Styela clava: one gene and its partners. The main gene of each other region encodes a partner of the protein of the gene in region 3 in a complex. Links are inferred from orthologs where the notes say so. Each region holds a gene or a part of one and is shown on either strand. Other genes may lie near its edges. The genes, in order: vacuolar fusion protein CCZ1 homolog, regulator of MON1-CCZ1 complex-like and vacuolar fusion protein MON1 homolog A-like.

The links.
Region 1: the proteins of vacuolar fusion protein MON1 homolog A-like (region 3) and vacuolar fusion protein CCZ1 homolog are in contact, whole or in part, in a cryo-EM structure (PDB 8JBE), measured with the Drosophila melanogaster proteins. The link is inferred for Styela clava from reciprocal best matches to the Drosophila melanogaster genes Mon1 and Ccz1. Residues at the interface, in NP_608868.1 of Drosophila melanogaster: Trp112, Gln113, Phe120, Leu142, Val145, Ile146, Leu149, Phe152, Val153, Gln157, Asp158, Ala159, Ile160, Thr161, Ser162, Ile163, His164, Ala165, Gly166, Ile168, Phe170, Phe172, Arg185, Arg459, Ser464, Arg465, Pro466, Leu467, Lys468, Leu469; in NP_647835.1 of Drosophila melanogaster: Lys48, Gly51, Leu52, Ile56, Phe59, Thr60, Thr62, Phe63, Thr64, Asp68, Cys69, Gln70, Ala71, Leu72, His73, Thr74, Gln75, Lys76, Thr77, Ala114, Glu115, Ala412, Asp413, Asn416, Pro427, Ala428, Glu429, Glu430, Val431, Gln432.
Region 2: the proteins of vacuolar fusion protein MON1 homolog A-like (region 3) and regulator of MON1-CCZ1 complex-like are in contact, whole or in part, in a cryo-EM structure (PDB 8JBE), measured with the Drosophila melanogaster proteins. The link is inferred for Styela clava from reciprocal best matches to the Drosophila melanogaster genes Mon1 and Bulli. Residues at the interface, in NP_608868.1 of Drosophila melanogaster: Pro416, Glu417, Arg419, His438, Pro439, Glu445, Arg448, Met473, Lys474, Glu475, Arg476, Glu494, Pro495, Val496; in NP_648047.2 of Drosophila melanogaster: Ile561, Arg565, Lys568, Asp590, Leu592, His595, Ser596, Arg599, Phe600, Met603, Phe631, Pro632.

Annotation. Positions count from the first base shown.
Region 1 is NC_135260.1:15,859,944-15,867,834, reverse strand, and holds the start of vacuolar fusion protein CCZ1 homolog, read right to left. Parts: upstream 3,029-7,891; coding exon 2,792-3,028; intron 1,954-2,791; coding exon 1,762-1,953; intron 496-1,761; coding exon 373-495; intron 1-372. Other genes in the region: sugar phosphate exchanger 3-like, read right to left, coding at 3,482-5,053. UniProt on the Drosophila melanogaster protein: Part of the Mon1-Ccz1 guanyl-nucleotide exchange factor complex specific for Rab7 that promotes the exchange of GDP to GTP, converting Rab7 from an inactive GDP-bound form into an active GTP-bound form.
Region 2 is NC_135258.1:12,005,641-12,013,343, forward strand, and holds the start of regulator of MON1-CCZ1 complex-like, read left to right. Parts: upstream 1-4,634; 5' UTR 4,635-4,658; coding exon 4,659-4,763; intron 4,764-5,021; coding exon 5,022-5,183; intron 5,184-6,094; coding exon 6,095-6,154; intron 6,155-6,236; coding exon 6,237-6,323; intron 6,324-7,439; coding exon 7,440-7,511; intron 7,512-7,703. Other genes in the region: DCN1-like protein 1, read left to right, coding at 1,671-2,468. UniProt on the Drosophila melanogaster protein: Positive regulator of the Rab7 guanyl-nucleotide exchange activity of the Mon1-Ccz1 complex, possibly by enhancing its endosomal membrane association.
Region 3 is NC_135250.1:28,745,989-28,753,518, forward strand, and holds the start of vacuolar fusion protein MON1 homolog A-like, read right to left. Parts: upstream 3,072-7,530; 5' UTR 2,954-3,071; coding exon 2,872-2,953; intron 1,671-2,871; coding exon 1,535-1,670; intron 768-1,534; coding exon 625-767; intron 1-624. UniProt on the Drosophila melanogaster protein: Part of the Mon1-Ccz1 guanyl-nucleotide exchange factor complex specific for Rab7 that promotes the exchange of GDP to GTP, converting Rab7 from an inactive GDP-bound form into an active GTP-bound form.

The DNA of each region.
Region 1 (7,891 bases), on a different chromosome or scaffold from region 3:
ACACCAGTAAAGTATAACAGTAAATACTTCTTCAAATGGCAAATAAAATAACAAAAGACATAGAACAGACAAAACTTTATATTCAGCCTAAAAAGATGATAATCAAGGATAACTAGTTACAATGAGAGAATGTACTCTCCTGTGGCCCTAATAGACACTGCCTAATATTTTGCATCATATTATATCCTGCTGATTAAAAATGTTACCATTGGAATCAATTATTTGTGTCTTCATGTAAATTATATAGAGTAAGTGATATAGTGAAGCATGAATCATGCTTGATTAAATATTTTACATAATTTTTGTTTTTCATTTGTTTGATATGCTTATACTGTGCTATACCATATATACTGCTGTATCAAAGAAATGTACCTTGAACATAAAATAAGCTTGCTCCAGTACAGATTTCAAAACAACACTCCTAATATTTTCCTCAAAATATTCTCTAACTGGTTTTCCATCTCGCATTGTTTCTTTCCATGGGTTTGATACTGTCTACAAAATAAGTGTTAATTGTAAAACGGGCAGTGATAAATGGACGCTCCAGAAGTGTGTGTACCAATATGGAGATAAGTAATTTTGTTCGCCTACTTTACATCAACTTGTATTATGGATCTGAAATCTATGGACTAGGGGGTATATTCACTTGGCTAACACAGACAGTCCCCGAACTTGTAATAGAACTAAAATGAGCAAAATCAGTTTAAAATTATGACCTAACCCTAACCTGGTACACACACTACGGGAGTACCGAAAAATAAATATGAATTTTACCATAGAAAAGCACAAATTCAGTAACAAAGCCTTCCACTTACTTTACCAGTTCACATTTTGGGTCTTGTAAAATGGCCACCTTCTCCCTAAGATTCAATGGCAACTTGAAAAATCTCATTTAAATGGCCCTGCTTGAATATATAATGACATGAACAAACAAATTTCCAATCCTTCTTAACATTTTCAAAAAAGCAATAATGTGCTTGGAAGTTAAGCTTATTACATGGGGTGCCTCCATGTTATTTAGTTTTGGGAAATACTATTATGAATCATAAAATAATGTTTTTCATTTCAGACAACTAAACCAAATATTTTACTCTGTTTATCCAGTTAAAAATGTTTGTAGTAAGTGATTCACATTGGCTTTAAATAGACAGTTAAGTTCTTAGTAGGCCTACATGAAAAAGATAATATATAGATTTGTGGAATATATGTTGGTACTTCTGTAGTAGGCTAGGTGTACCAGCTGTACCAGCCCGACTAAGGTTAGGCCATAATTTTATTCTAATTTCCCTTATTTTAGTTCTATTACAAGTTCAGGGACTGTCTGTGTGAGCCAAGTGAATATACCACCTGCCCATAGGTTTCAGTCCCTTTACACAACTTGATATAAAATAGGCGAACAAAATTAGTTACCTTCATATTGGTACACACACTTCTGGAGCGCCTACATGTAAAGTATAAACAAAAGAACAATTCTAAAATATATGAACATGAAGGTCATGCATTGGTGTCGATAACTAAGAACCAAGTTTGCTGAAATGAAATGTAATAATTGATTGTAGTTCAATTCATTTCAGAGGAGTGAGACAGAAACATTCCCATGGCATTAAAAAATGTGTTCCAAATAATTAAAATAAAACAGCAAAATTTTAAGTGGCATATTGCCGCCTTGGATCCCATCTCCCATAGAAGCATTTCGTGTCAAATAAAACAACTTATAAATATATATATTTATAGTTGAAACAATGTAAATAAGATTATTACCATGACAAACCAAAAATTCTCCTCCGCTTCATAAAATACTTGCTTGTGTTTTTGAGTATGAAGAGTTTCGCATGGTTTGCTTGATGAATAAGTTTTAGCAAATTGAATCAGCGCTTCACATAATCCAACTTTATTTATTTTTACATCGGGATGTTCTGATTCGGGATAGTAGAACAAAACTTTCAAATGTTCCTAAAATGAGAACAACGTTTAGTGTTTGAAGCAATTATTAGTCTACTTAGTTTAATTCACTTATGATAAATTTGTAACCTAGATATACTGTAGGCTATATATATATTTGTATCTCGCACATTTGTCCATGAGGTGTTTGCACTTACAGGTACATTGGAAAATATTTTCACAGTGATATTTACCATTGAGCAAAATCTAATGTTCAATCGGTTTTAAAGGGCACTGCCACAAGCATTATACAATATGATAATAAACAAACAGACTGAGGATGGATTCTGGTTTTGTTTGCCTGGTTGTGCAAATAAAATCACATGACTAGGATATCACTCAGTTGGATGGTAAATATGAACATTTGCCAAGATATAATATGCTCATTGCCTAGGCTTGTCTTATTCAACAGTGCTACTATCTCCCGCCAGGTACAGAATTATTCACTAAACCTGTACATACACATATAGCCTGATGAGATTTACTATTACTGAATGATCAAATGCCTAAACTTTCAAATCCCGGAAAAGCAGATTTGGATTAAGGTGTGCATGAGTGGCAATCATCTACAACAGGGGTGGGCGACCTTTAATACAGGAGGGCCGGCCAGATGCAAATGACTGGGTGAAACCGCACACTGCACCTTTATTTAACATAGGCTATCTAATAGTTGAAGGCACAAAAAACAGATTAAACTAAATGAAAAACTCGTTTCACAGGCCACACAATTTTTCTTTGCGGGCCGCATTTGACCTGCGGGCCACAGGTTGCACACACCCAATCTAGACTACAATATTTAAAAATATTAATTACTGTAAATACCATAATAAACATGTCATGTAATACTAACCTGGCCTTCTTTCGGTCCATAAGTAGGGTTATATATTAGAAAAGAGGACAACTTTGCTGTTGCCATATTACAGCGGTTCAATGATAACAAATCATTAATCGTAGTATTATATATACAATATTTAAATATTGAAGAACTGAAATGAATGTTGAGTACCAATATGAATTCAAGAAATAAAAATTGCACTTTAATAATATGAGGAAAAATAAAAATACTATCAGTCAAAATAGGAATCATAACATCAGTTTCACAATAGAGTTGAACGAATGAAGAAAACAAACAAATTATTCGACTCTGGGAAAGGGTTATTATATACCGTGAATAGTAAATATAGTAGTCTCTATTTTATACATAACATTAATCAAAGCGTGATACAAAGTCTTGCTATATAGAAATGACCAATTTATTAATTTGGCAATTAAATCCATAATATTCAACTCATAATCCCCAACATGAAAAGGCATACATTATACACAGTAACAACACAATACAGAAAAAAAACATCCAAAATATGGCAAGATCCTTATACATGCGGTAGAGCGCAGAGGCTATAGGTTATCAAATCACATTTTTATTGACACATTATTAGTATTATAAGTCACAAATATCACTACATAAACATACAGTATATATTATACACAAAACCAAGATCTTTTTAATACATAACATACAAAAGCAATACAAGCTACACTAGTTTTCATCAATTCTTCGATAGCTTGAACGAAATGAGAGTAACCTTTCAAATAAACGATTGGCACAAGCAGAATGCTTCACAAAATCATTATAAAAAATTGGAAAAAGGCATATCAAGCTTGTTACATTGGAAATAATAAACAAATTGAAAACCCAATTCCAACCATAATTTGATTGTATAACTGCTACAAGGTATTGACCAATTGCTGCACCAAGGCTTCCAGTTCCATCTATAATCCCTGTTACAGTTGCTAGAGAGTGTTCACCAACAGCTTCCCGTTTTGCGATATCTACAGCAATTGCAGAAGATAAAATATTTGATACACCATTGATTAAGAATCCAACGATGGACATCAATATACTGTTAATGACAACATCGTTTGGCGATGATTTATATCCCCACAATGCAAAAGGCGAACCAAGAAGCATGAAAAATAAAACTAAGCTTCGAGTTTTGAAAACATCTGACAGTACACCTGCAATAATTCCACCAGCTATTCCTCCAACATCATACCATGTGGAGACACTAGATGCAAGTGAATCATCCCACTGGAAATGATTGGTTAAATAATACGGTAGCCAGAAAAGAAATGCATAGTTGACTAATTTCAAGCACGCGAAGCTGAGAGAATAAGGTATAACTCCAGGTAAGAATAGAGCATTTAGAAAAGACAATGGTTGAGATTCCTTTTGATGACTATTAGACAACATTGCAATTTCAGTGTTTTCATTTTCCAATGTGGTATTTGTAAGTGCATTGTCTTTATCTACAGTCTCCAAAATTGCATTAGTAGGTACATTCATGTCGTCTTCAGAATTGAAATCATCTTCAAGAGGTTGGGAATCTTCATCATCTAGAGTTCTTCTATCCAAAGATTCTGTCTCAACCGGTGGAGGAAGACCTACTTCAAGTGGTGTATTCACAAGGCCGAACACCACGACCAGTCCTCCACCCAACATCATAACAGATATGGTAAGAAATGCATATTCATAACCATAATTAATAACTGAAGATGTGATGACATTTCCAATAACATTACCAACCGATGCACATGATGCCCAAATTCCAAACACAAGGCCTCTCCCAGATTTACCAAACCAATTGCCAACAACTGCGACACAAGTTGGCCAACCAACTGATTGTATAATTCCCTGTAAAATCCACATGGATATGTAAAATCCTTTATTGTAAAAGTGTAACATTTGAGTTAAAACTCCAAAACAAAATAAAAGTATGCCAGATAAAAACATTGCTATGGCCAATGCTTTTCGCAGTTCCACTCTGTCAGCAAGAAAGCTTGTAAAATACATTCCAATAGCATAGGAGACTAAAAATAAAGAATCCAAGAGCCCAAGAAAGGGTTCTGCTGATGCATAGCTTGAGAACAATTGTCTGTCCTCCCATATTTCTTCAGGCCTTGGGCAAGGCCATGATAAATTACATGATAGTGGAGTCCATTCTTTTGAAAATGAATCTTTAGAATCACTGTAAGCCTTTCTTGATGCATGAAATATTGTATACACACAATATGTTAGAACAAATGCCACAATTTGATGATGTGACCACATTTTGATACATTTATTAAATCAGTCAATGTCAGCAGAATTTTTGTTTCATGGTAATTCTATAATATATATACATTATTAACATTTATAATCTGTAATTAGTCAAATGCTGTAAACTAAACAATTTTATGATCCAGTTATGACTGTGAGAATAATAGGGATAAAAAAGTACTGAAAAAAAAAAGAATAAACCAAGAAGAATGATATGAATGTTCTGTAGGACACATGAAAAAAGTAAACTGAAGACTTCTAACGCTTCAGATTTATGCTCACTTTCTCAAATTTTTGTGATAGATTAGTTTATAAGTTGTAAGTGGAAACAGCCACCTTTCCATCTCCCATTACAGGAAGAGCCTTCGTGCAGTTGCAGGCATACCCGTTAACCGCCGTCGCATGGCGAGTGGTCCATGGCGAGTTAGCCTCCACCCCCCAAGAACCCCCATATAGCCTACTGCCATGGGCCATTGTCATATCGTGGTATCCGAACTAACCCTAGATGCGAGCTTTCTTCCGAGAGAGCTAGCTCGCCATGTCTATTTTCTTTTTATTTGTTGATCGACATCGCGAGTTCGAGAGAGAGAGAGAGGGCTAACTCGCCATGACTATTTGTTTATATTTGTTGAACGACATCACGAGTTCGAGAGGGCTAACTTGCCATGTCTATTTTTTTTATATTTGTTGATCGACATCGCGAGTTCGAGAGAGGGCTAACTCGCCATGTCTATTTTCTTTCATATAGACAATGTTTCATCCTTTATACCTATTCCTTTTGTCAATTCTTCCGATGAGACCGATCCTGTTTACGTCCTTTTTATTTACCTACAATTACAAATGAGCAAAAAGCTAACAATGACGTGTAATTGGAATATAAGCCGCCGCTCAGAGACACTTTTCCGCTCAGACAGATATTCAAGCATGATTGTAAACATTGCCTCGTTTTAGTAGGTTTGCGTCTTATTCGTCAGTTTTTAGTTGTGTTTCCAAAACATAGTTTTAAATCAAATACCTTAACTGCAATTATGTATTCTGAGGACCTTTAGTTTAGTTACAACAATAATCCAAAATTGATATCGCAAACGATGCGATAGACCAGGGCTACTCAACTGGCGGACCGCGGTCCGAATCCGGACCTTTCGAGTATTGTATTTGGACCGCACCTAATTATTTATTTTGAATCATTAGCCCCACTTTTTGAATTTTCTATTATAAAATGACTTTCATAGTTTTGAATATATACGAAAAGAACTATAACACCGTAATAAACAATTTTAATTTGCTACTAATCATTAGTCGGTCGAGGAAGTGCTCGTTTAAGGATGCCGAAATATCAGTTCTGGAAAGACCGGACCCAAATAATTTTGAAGTTTTGTTTGCGGACCTTCGATAAAAATAGTTGAGTAGCCCTGCGATAGACTACCTTAATATTAGCTATCAGCGCCACGTGGTTTATTGTTTTGAATAAAAATGAGTTTTAAACATGTGAGCCAATTTGTAAGCGCCAACTCTCCAAAACTATCCCATAAGCAACGTTAAAATTTTTGCAATGAAAATATGATCCATAACGGCGCTATGTTGTGTTTTTGGCTGACTAGGGCTGGGAATGGTTTACCGATTTCAGATGGTTAACGGTTATCAGTGGCAGCGCGTCAATAGGGCCAACCGGGGGCCGGGGCAATGCCCCGGTTATTTTCGGTATAATAAAAAATATTCGAAAAATACCTCAATATCGGTTGCACAGACTGTCTACACTAGCCATATTCCCCCGACATGGTTCATTTTTCGCTCGCAAAGCCTTCGCCGAACGTCGACGGGGCGACGCCGATTTTGCCCCGGTTGCTCATTGTATATCGTATTCTCTCTTTTATCTTCCACTCGCCGCGTTTATCTCGTTTATTTTCTGTTTCTTTTACTAAATCATCCGGGTCGATCGGGCTGTCGGGGCTAGCCCCGAAATTATGACGACACAATGCCGACGTTTCTTACAACAACGTGTTGACATATTCACGCATTCCTTCTCGTTCGTTGGTTGCTTGAAGAGTTGATAGTTTCCTCGCCTTCGTTTTTGTCGCTCGTTTCACTATTTGAATCAGTTAGACCCCTTTAGTCCATTTGCTTTCGATTTTCCACATTCCTTTTGAGCTCCTCACTTCTTTCCGGCTTCGCATTTCTTAGCCTTAGACCTCATAATGAATAAGGTTGATGCACTACTTCGCACTCCGTTTTCGCAGTTGCCGCTGGAACAAAAATTAGAGGTACAACGTCTTGGGCCTTATCAACCAAAAAATTGTTCACTGGAACAATCCCATGACGGAGAAAAGCGTCGGCGTACATTCTGCGCAGAAACTTGGTATAAAAAACACGAATGGTTGTGTTACAGCGAGGACAAAATGCACTTTTTTGTTTTTATTGCCTACTTTTTGCTACCGCCCGTGACTCACGTTGGTGTAAATTTGGTTTTAGAGATCTTAAACATCTTTCCGAGCGTGCCAAGGATCATCAATCTTCTATGGAGCATCTGGACAATGCAGTAAAATACCGAACATTCGGAAATGTTAATATTGCAGCGCGGTTTCTATTCGTCGGCACAACCAAAACGTCGAGAAAAACCGCCATGTTCTCGGTCGATTGATAGATGTTTTGAAGTTCATTGGTTGTCACGAGCTGTCCCTCCGTGGGCACGATGAACGGGCTGGCTCTTCTAATAGAGGGGTATTTTTGGATATGGTGGAATACACCGCATCCCTAGATACAGTATTGGGAGATCATCTTGATGCCGCAACTGTTTCGAAAGGGACATCTAAGGATATCCAAAATGATTTGCTCGACTCAATGTATAAAATT
Region 2 (7,703 bases), on a different chromosome or scaffold from region 3:
AATGTAAGGTTTGTTGGTCCAGCCAAGCTATGACACTGGACACCAATCTTTATCGCTTCTCGGCCTTTTGGCTAAGATCAAGTGTAGTATCTGTTCTTTTCAGATTAATACCTGAAATGTGGGGTACTCCCCCACTCTTGTATTAATTTGATTTTTGTACCTCAGGGTTTGGTTTTGTGGCTTGCCACACCACTCCCACGGGTTGTCCTGTTATTGCAGTACCTCCAGGTTCGGCCCACTCTCCACATCGTGGAGATTCTTTCATACAATAAATAGGTAATTAGAAGTAGAAGGGCTTTCAGGACGGCTGAAGCTACAACCGGACGTCGGTTAGCCAGTCCAGCAGTCTTTCCGCACTTGATTATTTATCGCGGAGATCCTTTCATACAATAAATAGGTAATTAGCAATAGAAGGACTTTGAGGACGGTTGAAGCAATAACCGGACATCGGTTAGCCAGTCCAGCAGTCTTTTCGCACTTGATTATCCTTGCATAGGATTCCGACTTGCAAACCTACGCAGGGTAATCAGAGGTGTGGTGGCGAGATCATTCCTAATGCTTAGCATTGCTTTCAGAATACATGGATATATTTGGAATAGCAACTTAGTCGTTTTAAATCAGAGAATTGAGGAATAACTGACAGCCAAACAATATCTGTCATAGATAGATATTACACTTGCAATTACAATAATAACATTGTTTTCAAAGTATAGAATAGAATGTCTCACCGGACAGAAATGCTGTAGGCTAGTATTTTTACCACAATGAAAAAAGATCAGTTTGGTGGTTTTGTTACAGCCACCATAACTTTAAGATCAGAAGATTAGTTCAGTCAAATAGAGTGAGGGCCTGAGAGCAGATGGTGTCGCTTATCGGCCTTTTGGCCAAGATCAAGTGTAGTATCTGTTCTTTTCAGAATAATACCTGAAATGTTGGGTACTCCCTCACTCTTGTATTAATTTGAATTTTGCACCTCAGGGTTAGGCGTTGTGGCTTGCCACACCACTCCCCCGGGTTGTCCTGTTATTGCAGTACCTCCAGGTTAGGCCCGCTCTCCACATTGTGAAGATCCTACTGTCCTATGCAATAATGTTAGTTAAACAGAAGTGTAGTTGTAAGAAGGGTATGTGTAAAATTGCGGGTCCGAGTTTTACAGATGGCAGCTTCTTCTTGTGCATATTTACTTATTTTAAACGCCCTGAACCTCTCCATTGCAGTTTTTTTTTCAAAATGTATTCAATGAAAACCATTATTGGTATTATGCTGTGTACAAGTTTCACTGACCAATGACTATGACGCTTGTTTAAAATTATAGTGGCATTGAATTCACAATTTGAAATTCGTATTACAAGACTCATCGCTTTATATTATAGGCTATATGAATGTTTTGAGTCTTGGAGCTATTTCTGTATTTTGTAGATTTTCTTTTCTAGAGTTAGAATGTTGAATTGAATTGGTTTTAAATTTCAGTATAATCTGAATATACGTTGAAGTTTGCAGTGTTGTTTATAATTGAATATCAAGATGAGCTCATTGCAGCATTGTAGGGCAGTATGGTAATGCAAAGTCAGAATGTAGGTCCTGATGGTTACTTATCTAAACTAGATACCGTATGTAATGTCCACTTTATTTTAACAGGAATAGGTTATATAACTACCATTTATATCACCATGCATAAGTTGAAGCCATCTCAGAGGGAAAAAGTTCGACATTTCATGACTTTTACCCAGGCCTCAGAAAAAACTGCCATATATTGTTTGTCACACCACGATTGGAGGTTAGATGTTGCTTCTGACAACTATTTTACTGAACCTGAACTTTACTGGAGAGAGAGTAAACCCACTGTTGACAGGCGAAGGATTGAAGCATTGTATAATAGGCTTCGTGATCCACAAGATCCTGATAAGATAGGTGTGGAAGGAATAACTAAATTTTTGGAAGAACTCCAACTTGATCCTACAAGTCGTTTGGTGCTTATTATTGCATGGAAATTCAAGGCAGCTGTGCAATGTGAATTCACAAGAGCTGAATTTATTAATGGAATGATTGAATTATCAGTCGATGATTTGGAAAAGCTAAGATGGATGTTGCCGAATCTTGAAACAGAAATTGCAGACAAAGCAAAATTTAAAAGTTTATATCAATATACTTTCAATTTTGCAAAAAATCCTGAACAAAAGGGATTGGACCTTGACATGGCTATTGCCTATTGGAATATCCTTCTCGGTGACAGATTCAAGTATCTTGATCTGTGGTGTCAGTATCTTACAGAACATTATAAACGAGCCATACCTAGAGACACTTGGAATCTTCTTTTAGAATTTAGTTTAATGATTTCTGACGATATGTCTAACTATGATGAGGAAGGTGCTTGGCCCGCACTTATCGATGATTTTGTTGAATGGGCGAGGCCGATTGTTAATAATAATGGTCAAAATCAAGAAACTGTCATGCAAACTGATTCGTAATTTTTTTTTTAAATAATGGTGTTGGTTAACTAGATGTAAAAACTTCATAGCCGAATAGTTCAGTATCCTAGATATCAATTTTAAATTTCAATTGAGACTATTGGAAATCTCCAACTTGGCGTATATTTTGAATTTCATATCAAAGTGTGATTGGAAGATTGGATATAAACAGCGGGAAAAATTTTATTTATTAATTTGTTCCATTATTTTATAACTTTAAGTAAAGTGAATAAAAGATTCAAAAATCACACAAATACAGGTTATGTAAAACTGTCCATATTATGGATATCAATTCCTTGCATGATGTATGAGGTCTCACATATCTCACAGCTAACTGAACTCATTCAGATAATCAAAAGTTTTGATTGAATGTACAAACATTTACCTTATCAATATCATTTGAATGCTGTATGCACTAATTTGGCTCGGTTTTCAGTTGTCAGAAGACAATATTTTGGGGGTAAACAAGAGGTGTATTGATTTAGCAATATTATCAATATCACCCGTTTTGACGATATTGTTATAGGGTCGTAATCGGAATAGAAAATTACATTTACTGCTTTTAATTATGTTTCCATTTCTCCCAAAGCGTATAATTCGGTAATCTGGAATTGCTATTGGTCAAAAATGTGACATCTTCATTGGAAACAAGAAATTCATTTTCTTTCGACATTTATAGAGACGAAGATGACAATCTTAAAAAGCTTTTAGTTGTTATTGAGCCCAGAGATTTTTCTCAGTTGAAATGATAATTAGTTTATCACTCAACACCTAGAAAATTGTGTCAGTCGTTTTTCACCAACTCAAAACTTTCACAGCTTAATCATTATCAATGGTGCGAACTTACAGTACTTTATTCAACTTGACAAGTTATGCACCTAAAAATATTATCTTACGTGTAGTGTCACGCTGGAATCCACAGAGTGTTGTCTGATTAACCTCGATATCGGAGGATGTATTCGATGTATTCACATGATTTTTCAGGAATGTTTTGCATTCAGCCATTTCAATCTTGCTTTGTATTCTTTCCAAGAACTGTTGGCCATGAATACAATTTTATTTCATTCATGAATTTTGTTCAAAATACGTTTTCTTCTACTTTGTCACATTTAATATGGTGCAGTCATTTCATGTGCTGTGGAATAATATTGACTACAGTATTGTTTGTCATTTTGGTGTTTTATGTGACTTTGCCATTAGTTCAGTTTTCTTCATTTGTAATTAGCCAAAAATCCATGAGAATTTACCCTTTATTCTGGGAGCCATATATTGTTATAGTATATGTTTATGCACCCAGTTGACCATTGGTAATAACATCTGTTTTTTTTTCAATTGCTAATTAATTTTGCAACATTTCACTAAAACCACAATAAGTTCATTAACCCAAAATCTATATTAATGTTATTACAATTTTCTTGACATTTGTGATTTCCTATCTAAAATAATTTTGCTTCGAGCTGTTGAATGAATCGAATGTGTTTTTTTGATTTGTTTTCTCATTCATTTTTCATATTTTATTGTATATTATTAATAATATTTGCGAAAATATATATATCCTTTGAAATGGTTCATTTGGATAACCGGTGCCTTGTTATTCATTCTTCACACTCAATTGTGTTGGATTTATGGTTGAAAAAGTAATAGCGTATAAAATCTCGTATCATACGGGTTTGAACAGTATATTTTTAACATGAGGATTTAAAGGTTTGGCCAGACTCGTTGTAGTTTTTCTAGAATTTGGTACACCTGGGGTGGGCTTGTGTTTAACTGTTTAGTGTCCAACCAACTGGGGTTGTCAAATTACCAAACTTTAACACACTATTCCATCCAATATTATCAGACCAATGCACCAACTACCAGATTGTTGCATACTCATATCTAGGTATTTTAACACAGTACCATTTTATATTAGGGTTTTTTCCTCTTAGCAATATTTCCTGTTTAAGCCAGCTTTGAATGTCCAACTGTTTGTTTTGGTTTGGGGATGAAATAATAAATAGTTTTGGTTCCCTTAATTGTTTTGTCGCGTATTTTTGAACATCTATCCATTTATGCTATTTAGAAATCAATTAGCTGATTGAATACGTCATTTTATATGGTTATATTGATTATATTACTTAATTCAGTAGTCTATTAATTTTTTTGAACTTTTTTTCTATATTGTGTTTAGAAAATGTAGAAATTAACATTATGAGTTCCAATGCAAATAGTTATCTTGCACTATGCAAAAATTCAGTTCGATTTGATGCAGTTACAGCTGTCAACAATGTTTTCTTTGATGAAGCGAATAAACAGGTATGAATGGGAAAAGTTTGCTATTAGCGATAAAACTGTTTGTAACTTATAAAAATATGGTATGTATTTGACTTAACGTCTACACTGATAAATAGGCCTATGGCATATTCTATATATTTAAAATATAATTATACTTAATCGTTAGGAATTACAGTGTGGTATCACACTATGAAATTAGGGGGGGGGGGGGGGGGTTGAAATTTTACTGGTGTCGTTTAATTTTAATTTGGATATTCAACTTTTTAAATTTTGTTCTAGATATTTGCTGTTAGATCTGGAGGTGCAACAGGTGTGATTGTCCGTGGTCCTGATGACAGAACTTCACATAGTTTCAGATTGAATGATAAAGGATCCCTGATATCAATCAAGTTTTCATATCATCATAAAATACTGGCTTTGCAACGATCGGAGACTAGTATTGTGAGTGCTGCTGGTATTTGTTTGAGAGAAAATACAGGCTATGAGCCCTGTGAATGAAAAGAGAAAAGTAAATAGGTCGTAATATTGAATGGCAGTCTGTACTGTTATATATTTTCTAACTATAACATCAAACATCTGTGTTGTTGTTAAAAATATTCCATAGAATGGATTCAATCAAAAAAAGGGAATATTGTACGTATTTGATATAAAATTTTGCCAACTCTAATTCTGTGATTCCGTAGTTATTTTTAGAAGCATGGGCCTTGATAGAATGGACATATCATGTCTACGGTAATACTCTAATATGGTAACAATATTTATTCAACTTCTGATTATTGGAATAGTACCAAGCAAGAAAGAAGGTTTTATGATTATTTTGTCCATTTCAAATCTTATTCTAAAAATGGAATAAATGTGACTAAATTGAATAGGTGATGGGATTACCATAAATACACATGAATCATTTTATTTTTCTATCTAACGTAGTTATGGGTCTTTTGCTCCAAACAAGGCTCTGCATAAGCTATCACTACTATATAAGGAGTTAAAAGGTAATCAGTAATTTATTTCTTCACCATGGTGAAAATACATACACACTATACATACAAGAAATGAAAATATATGAAAAATCGTACTTCAGAGTGAAAGGAGATTAACGAAAACCAATACTGGTTATCGAGCGGCAACACCCTGGGATGGATGGGGTTTGGAAGGACCGAAGTTTTTTCGATTGAAAATTGCCTACCTATCCTATTTATTACATCTTGTTTGAGATGGTGGGAATGGTTGGAATTTGAACCCAAGAATTTGATCAATGGTGCAATCATAGTTAAATTTAATGCTTCACCATCATATACCATATTGTACTTCAATGTTATTTTAATAATATATGTTTGATGATTTATTCTCAGGAATTCGCAAACATTGAAGATGGGAGCCCAGATCCATCTGAATATTCACAATCAAGCAAGGTAAAATTTTTAAGACATGAAAATTCACTTTCTCTGCTTATACTTTTTCATCATGTGCAAATTCGTTTTCTTTTTTATTCAGGGCAAAAATAACAAGATTTTAACATTTCATTGGATAAGTACACATGAAATAGTGATGGTGACGCAGAGTGGCATTGAGTTTTATCAGGTATTATTTTGAATGGAACTCAATTGGTAATATTATGTTCAAAATATTGCCTCTATGAAAAATTACACTCCAATATATTTAAGCTAATTTTCCGTGGTTGGGATAAAGCGCACCTTTTACTAACTTGTTGTTGTTTTTGTTGGGTTTGTTGTTGCGGTGAAAAAAATTACTTTTACCGCATCTAATGGACTAATTAAATTTAAATATTCATTACTTAGATATGGTATGTTTTTACTATAGAGATGGCAATTTTTTGAATTTAGCCTCGATATTTTGTCTCAAATCTTGTTATTTTTGCAAACCTATCAGACTGGTTCAGTGGTCTGTCATCTTTTGACAAGCTCACTTGAAGCGTTACTAGTACAGACATGTAATGTGACGTTTAGAACTGCTGTAATGCGATTAGTCATTTGAATAACTTCTCATCCATATATTTCAGCATTACTCACATAATGAATTACATATTATATATACGGTATGTCAAATAACTATCTGAGCGAATATTTATACAATATTTTAGAATTTTTCATTTCTCTGTTTAAATTGAATCTTGATTTGTTATTATATAAAGCTTTGGTCTATACTAAGGGCGAGCAAAATCAATAATCAAAATTTTTGTGCCTGCAACTGCTAGAAATCCTATGTTAAATAAAGGTGTGGCCCGCGATTTCACCCAGCTTTTTGTATCTGGCCCTCCTGTAATAATGGTTGCACACCCCTGGTCCACACAATGTTGTTTCTTCTGTAAGGGAGATGGTGATGTGAATGATTAGCGTAATCATAATTCAAACTTGTAAAGCAAACATGGATTCCCACTCTTGAATGGAACAAAAAAAAAAAACATAAAGAATGGTTGTTACAAAATGGCAGAATCTCTTCTCACATAGCTAGCTAATTAGTGGAAGCTTAATGAAGTTAATGATGTGGAATGAGATTCCACTCTGGTTACGTACAGGTCCAAAAAATAGAACAAAGAATTGGCAGTATCATTACTGTTTTCGGTAAATCTTAAAAATAAATCTAAAGCATTGTAGATTTTGTTTAACACAAAAAGACATAATCAGCTAATTCTTGACATTTGTTTTTTAATCGTATCTATTTTCTGATCTTGTTTAGATAAATCAAGATAAACGTCAAGCAAAGCTGCTGAAAAATTATAATTTTCCTGTTAACTGGTCAATATTTTTGGTAACTATATTTTGACAATATTGCAATCCCAGTCTGAAGGTTAACATATATTATTTATGATGTTGTAATGAATATTGTATATTCATGTTTGTTAAGAATATATATTTAGACATTGCTTGTTTAAAAACTTCAAATTATGGAAGAACAGGCAACCCAATGTTTCACAAAGATTGCGAAATAAAAATATTTTGA
Region 3 (7,530 bases):
GCTTGCACGTTCTTATTGGGGAAACTTGGTTTGAGTTATAGCTGTTTTATGCATAATGTCATTTCCTTTGAGTGTGAGTGAGTTATGATTGTATTAGTCAAATTTTTATTGCAATTAACCCCTTAGTTTGCAACTCGGCTTATGATAAGTGAGAATTTAAGTACTACATGATCTTGTTTGGTAGGTATAATCAGAGATCAAATTTTCAGACAGAACGACAACTCCACACTACTCATCCTTGAATCAAAAAATTGAAAAAGCTTCAATAAAACAAATTTTTATCATGAGAATTTTTTTTTTCAGAGTATGCTGCTGGAGTGGAAGTCAAAATCTGGTAGTTTACTGTCGTTTTTAAAGCTTTAGAGAGTATTGGATTTAAGACAGGCGTAGGTAGGCCTACAGTTTCCTAGAATGTCCTGTTTCGATATAAAACAAAAAACCAAACGTCGTAGTTTCAATTTTGAATTATTACGAAGAAAAAAGTTATTTTCAGCTGTTTTAATCATTTTGAAGCAAAATCCATCAATGTAATATAAAAAATCAACAATATAAGGTTTTCTCAATTTTATCAAAACATCTTTGAGTTAAAACTATTGAACAGAGATACAAAAACATCATTAATACCGGGTATTGGGATGGAGTCAGTCCCAGAGAATTCACCAAGTTGTGAATTGCCACTTGGATGTCTTGTCACTGTTTTATGAGAATCACTTTTTGCTCTGTGAACTGGAGTTTTCGTTTTCTCTTCATCAGCTTTCACAGAAACACTTGAAAAATTAAATATACAAATTATGTTTTATTCCCGGGGTGTGCAACCTGCTGGTTCAACATTGTCTATGCCAGTGGTTCTCAAACTTCTTGATATTGCGACGCCCTCCGAAAAATATGATCAAGTTGCGACTCCCCGTTAAAACGGCTTGATATTTTTTAATGGAAGACCTTTTTTTGTAATGAGTTTCATGCGTAGCCTACAATTCCACAAAATAAGAAAAGTTTTGCAACGCCCTAGCAAAATGGAAACAACGCACTTGGGCACCGCGACGCCCTTTTGAGAACCACAAGGCAATTTATAGGGTGGGAGACTGGGAGAACATGGGGATTGGAAAATAGATGTGTAAGCTGCAATGTCAACAAAGATAAGTCTAACGCTTTAACCACTAAACCATTGCGTTCCTTGTATTACTTATTATTGCACTGACTTTATATTATAATATACAAATCTCAAATGAATCGCGTCATTTATTTTGATGTAATTAGCAAATAGAATATCAAAATATATTTGATAATGGCTGAATGGGGAGGATATTTTAAAACTTTCCCAAGATCGGAGTCTTGTGTCAAAGATCTAGCATCCAGGGAGTCAGAATTTTCCCAGAAACATGAAATCAGTAAATTCATTAACTCATCTTTTTTCAATCCAGAATCCCCGATTGTAAGTTTCTCAGACTCCAGAGCAAAAGTTATTATTTTCGTAATTTGTGATTTGGAGTTTTGAAAATAATGCATTTTATTTTAATATTATTACACAGCTAACCTTCTCATCAGCCGAGTTAAGTCTTTAATTCCTGCAGCATTGGTAAAGTGGTGATCAGTTGCATTTTCGTCCCATTCCTTAGTTTCTGTTGTTAGTTCTTCGCTCACAACGAGTGACTGGTTTTCTGCCGTTGCTCCTAGTAATTCAAGGAAAAAGAATTGAATACTTACAAATTTATCCCGAAAAGATGAAGTCAATACCGGTACGATGGCTTATGTATATCAGTAGGGTGGTGTAGCCAGTCTGCGGACGGTTCCATTCAAACCGCTATAAAACAAAAACAAATATTTCTAACCCGTAAATTTTTTCACCGTAGGTGCATTGGCATTTATTCTACACGCTAAACCTCGAATTAACTTTCTACGACCAGGGGTTAAAGCTATACAAACCACCGAAGTACGACACTCGGAAGACGTATTTGCGACCGAAACAACCAGTGTGCGACCACGAATTTCAAGCCTTGAACATCGTTTCTGCAGCGTCGAGACTAGAGCATACGCAGCCATGCGTGAAAAAATTGGGCTTCTAATTGCATTTCTGACCGTCATATATTTTAAGAACACAGTCATTTCAAACAAAACTTGTCAAATTATATACAAAGCACTGAAGCACCGCATCACAGCAATCAAACAGACAAAAACACGGTGGTCGCAAATTGGTCGACAAAGATATTATTGACGTATTGGAAATGCGCGCCTTCCTATTTCTCCTCCTTTAAATGTAGAAACGTGGAAATTTAAAGCTGGTTAAAAGAAACACAACTCTACCTTCTGACCTTCTTGCCAAGTTTCATCTTTTTATCTCTTATATTTGTATGGATTTTCAAGTTTTTTTAATGGAATAATAGTCTGTTTTTTATTTTCGGTCGTAAGTTACGACTCGTAACTTTCTTGTTTGTGACCGCATTTTTAGGGACACGTGGACGATAAGGCGTGAAAAATAACGCCGCGGTTCGTTAATTTTTTCGACATAAATTAGATCAATGAAGTTGATGGCCGCAAAGTGGTTGAGCCACCCTATATGGCAGTAATTACTAGACAGTATGGCAAGCCGTGGCACTGCGGTGTTTAAGTTACAGGACTACTGACTTAGACGGGTACCATATCAAAATAAATCGGGAGTGAATTCTTCAAAACATACCTACAGATGTACCGTACCGGTATAATACCACACATTCAACATTTCTACGATTTTTAAGAATAGCCTCCACATTGAGAGAAATCAAGTGAGTGAAAAACCCCTTCTTCCAAAGATAGTTTGGGCCTCCAAGTCGGCAATCCGGACCTGTGCGATAAACTAATAGGATTCGCAATCTAAAAACGTCACCATCGGCTTACCTGGCTCAATTTCTTCCAGTCCATTTATAGACGGCCTGGCATCGGTAACAGCTACTTCGTCTGTATCGCTTGGAACTGACATGCTTCAGTTCGAATGCACTAACACAGCGATACCGGTACGGTAGCGTATTCCTGTATTCCGCTACCCCACCACGGCACTTCAGAACCTCACCCAAACAAATGAAATGCAGAGATTTTTTTCACTCAGGTTTCCACTTCGGAAAAAATCCGGAGTCAAACTATATCAGGAATTTGCTGCCGCAAAAAATTATCAGTCCGACTAATTTGCTGATGAAAACGCGTCGAACCCCGGTATAAATAGGTATATCCTACTCTAACTATTCATTACCTATTCTTTAGAAATAAAATTAACACAATTATACAGATTATAGACAATGAAAAATAACATATTTATCACAAATACATAGCGTTACCGGTGGCAGGTAGTGCTAAGCGTTAAAAATATGCTTGTCATCTGTCACGGACCATAATGTCCGTGTTTATCATGTGTATATAAATTTTTAGGTTTGTATGCTTGTCCCTAATTTGCTAATTCGACTCCGACCCTCCATTACACGTTAGAAGAAAAAGATACTCTTATCATACTCTGATCATGTGCGAGAGGATTGCTGGACTCCTCGATGCCGTAGGGTGGTTCACGTAACCGCTGGTCGGTTACGGCTTCCTCTACCATCAAGTCCATGCTTCCGAAAACAAATAACTGGCTAACTAATCCAGTACCCGACCTGGACTGGTAACCGGACGAGAGGCCGTGGTTTGCCATATAATTAAGCCGTCTTATCGGCTTTCCTCTTCCCGGGATAAATATGTAAATCCTATTTTATCCCACTCTCTTATTCGGCTGGAGGTCGGCTGCTTTTGATGTTAAAAGTGTGGAGTTGTCGTATCAATAAATAACCAATCCAGAATCTTGGGCCTCCTGACTTCATTAAACACAGTAACAAAAACTTATCGGTGACACATAGCCCATCTGATTACCCTGCGTGGCTTCGAATCAGATGGAGGATGGTTATCTGCGAGAATATTGCTGAACTCTTCGCCGCTAATGGTTGTTCTTAACATGTAACCATTGGTCGGTTCCGGCTTCCTCCACCAACGAGTTCATGCATCTGAAAACTCATAATTGGCTAACTAGTCCATACCCGACATTGAACTTGGCCTAGTAACCGGACGAGAAGCCTTGGTGATTTATACACTCTGACGAGAGTTCGCCAAATTAATAATCCACCTTATCGGCTTCCCTCCCCCATGAGATTAATCTGAAAATTCCAAGATATAGCGCCATTTTGTTTTGAATTCTGATACAACTCAATTTGCATTTCATGTGAATTCTGTAGCCTAGGGGGTTTAGGCAGTGAGTACTGTATACAAGGAGCAAGAACCAACAGTTCGAAGACTTTTAAATGTCTTATCTGGTTGACAAAATCACATATTGCCAACAGAAAATGTTTTAAATAAATAAAAGTAATATCCTTCTGGGGGAAAATAAAAACTTTAACCAGTCAAAATGTCAAAGCAATTGCCTTGGTAGTGAAAAATGTGAAAGGTAGTGTAGTAGTGTAGTGTAGTCACTGTGAAAAATGTTAACTTCTATTTACATACGGTAACATCAAAAATACCAACAACATAATAGGAAATTTTCGTGTCCAATAATATGGCAGTAATACTACGGCAAATCAAAACAGTATTCTTTCCCAGTTGGGACAGGTGAAGTTAACCAGTCCGTATTCGCAAGCCTATCGAATAGACTCAACTGTTTACCACACGTCTATATTTATTGTTCTTCCATTACCTCAGACATGATTCATATTACCAGATACAGCTAGACCGCAATTTTAGTGATTGATATTTAAGATAATGGCTTGACGTGCTAAGGGTTAGGAATCGCATCCCATCGCATTTCAGATTACCATGTGTGTGTCCGCAAGTTCTAATTCTGTGGGAATTATTATGTGCGAAAGAATTATTTGACTCTCAGTCGAATCTTGTTTCATAGAATACTGGTCGTTCACAGCTTCCTAAACAACCAAGCCTCTGAACAACATGCATCTAAAAAAACTGGCGAACTAACAACGGTTAGTCACTAACCCCATACCCGACATGAACTGGTAGCCAGACGAGAGTTTGTGCCTGTATGTCAACCAGCTTTTCAATTAGGGAGTGGTGAATATTTTGGTATTACCAATACTATTTCGTCACGCTAATAACCGAATTGCGTAAGTCATTTTTGGCGTTTTTGAGTTTTTTATAAAATAGGTATTTATGTAATGCTGCGCACCTGTCTGTTCCCTCAGATTTTATTTTAGGAATTCCGAAACCCATAAAAATGGAGACTTAGTATGACATGCATATTTGTGCTATTGTTTTGTCATAATGAATTATCATTGTTACCGTAGGACTATTGTGACGTCACAAAAGCAAAATAAAATCGGCGAAGTATTTTCGAGTTTTTGCATCTCGGATTCTAGCATAGCACGTATTAATTTGAATTTTTACTACAGTATAGGAAGACGTGCACTTGTGATATTCACTGTCCGAGTCCAATTTACCATGGTTGGCTTTTATATTGGGTGCATTGCTGTTTTATTCTTTATATTCAATCTTAGTCTTATTTTGATGGGTGTGCAGAACGTGTTATATTGATGAAATATATATTTTTAAACATAAAAAATAATGTAATTAAAACTGATTAGCTATTTTGGGGATTAGACATTGTAAATACTGAGAATTACATTCGTTTTTGGAATGTTTAGTTTTCAGGACTGGTGCATATAGTGAAGTTTCAAAATTGCGTATATCCCCAAGTCATAGACACATTTTTGCCTAAGTCACAGTGCGCCATTATGACGTCACATAACTGCATCATACAAATTAACTTAAATCCGGATATGATCAAAAAATTGAACCATGGCAAATTACTGACTCTCAATGGCAAAACAATATCATTAGGAAGTTTTTAAGTTTTTCTCAAAACTGCTAAAAATGACTTACGCAATTCGGTTATTAGCGTGACGATTTGTAACCTTTAAAATTGTGTTGTTAAGTTTTTGACAGACGATCTACAGAGGTAAACATGCCATATTCTATATATATATATATGATTAAAATACAATCATACTTGAATTATGAATAACAGTGTGGTTTCACACTAAGATTACAAGATAGCGTGCCATTTGGTTTTGAATTCTGATGATACTATCTAATATACATGCGTTTTATGTGAATTCTATAGCTTACGGACCTGAGGCAGTGAATAAACGAGGAGACAGAATCAACAGTTCGAAGAATTATTAAAATGTTTTATTTTATTAACATTACAATCCAGAAATTGTCTCTTTGTATAATTTCAAGGAGAAAATTTCACGCTGTTTTTGTCGGTAGTATTAAAATATTCTTTACTCATTAAGTACGCAATTCTCATCATTTGGTTTCACAGTCTTTTGATAGTTATATTTGCATACGGGTCCCCAATTAGAACGAAATAACGCAAAAATAGTTCGTCGTTTCACTCAAACCGCGCCCTAAAAATTAATCAGCACAAAACAACAAGGAGCTAGGAAAGCAAACCCAAAATAAGTAAAATATATTAATTGTATTTTATATTTGTATACTATATATATGATTATGAGAAAAATTGTCATCATAGCAATATTGCGCACTGAAGGAAACATGTTTTGTATCGGCGATTAGATTTCTGTAGTACTTGTAATTGCAGGATCGCCCAACAGCCCGCTAAGAGGGTTCGAATGATTAAGCTTCGACTTTCTCTAATGAACATCAAATTCTTGAAATCATGCTTTTCTTAGTTGTGTATAGTTTATATTACATTGAGAATTTTGTTTGTAATAAGTTACTTATTGAGATTATTTAAATAGTAACTATGGTTATGTTTGAACTATTTGAATAGTACGCTTTAGAAAAAAAAAATGTCCATCCATCAATGAAGCGAGCAATGAATGAGTTTAGTACAATTTGTACGGCTAATGTACTAAGCATTTGGTCATTACAGTCGATTTCGATTACCTATTTCTGTTTGAATCCAAGTTAAGCAAAATTTAGAGTAATCTCGTTTAGATGAGTCTAGGTTAGATGGTGACTAAAATCCAACACGATTCGAGTCAATGACTCTAGCTCGGCGGTGTGGCGCATTGGTGTAAGCGTTAGGAATAATCTCGCCACCGCACCTCTGATCACCCTGCGCGGGTTTGAAGGTTCGAATCACATGCTGCGACAATTTATGCGATTGGATTACCCTCTCTGGCGTAGAGTGATTCACGTAATCGCTGGTCGATTATGACTTTCTCATCCATCACGTCCATGCTTCCGAAAGCAAATCACTGGCTAACTAATCCCATACTCAACATTGACTGGTAACCGGAGGAGAAGCCGTGGTTCGCCATATGATTTAGCCGTTGTATCAACTTTCCTCTTACCTGAGATTAATACGTAAATCCCATCCTAAGTCAGTTTCATTAAATATGTTGGAGTTTGATCTATATTGTCGATTAAAAAAGCTTGGTTTCCTCATGAAAAAATTAGAGAAAATCTTCTGCTATTTTACTTTTATCATTTACTTTATACAGACCATATTTATTTCTATATAAAACAAAAATCATAGCTGTGCATCACTAATATGGA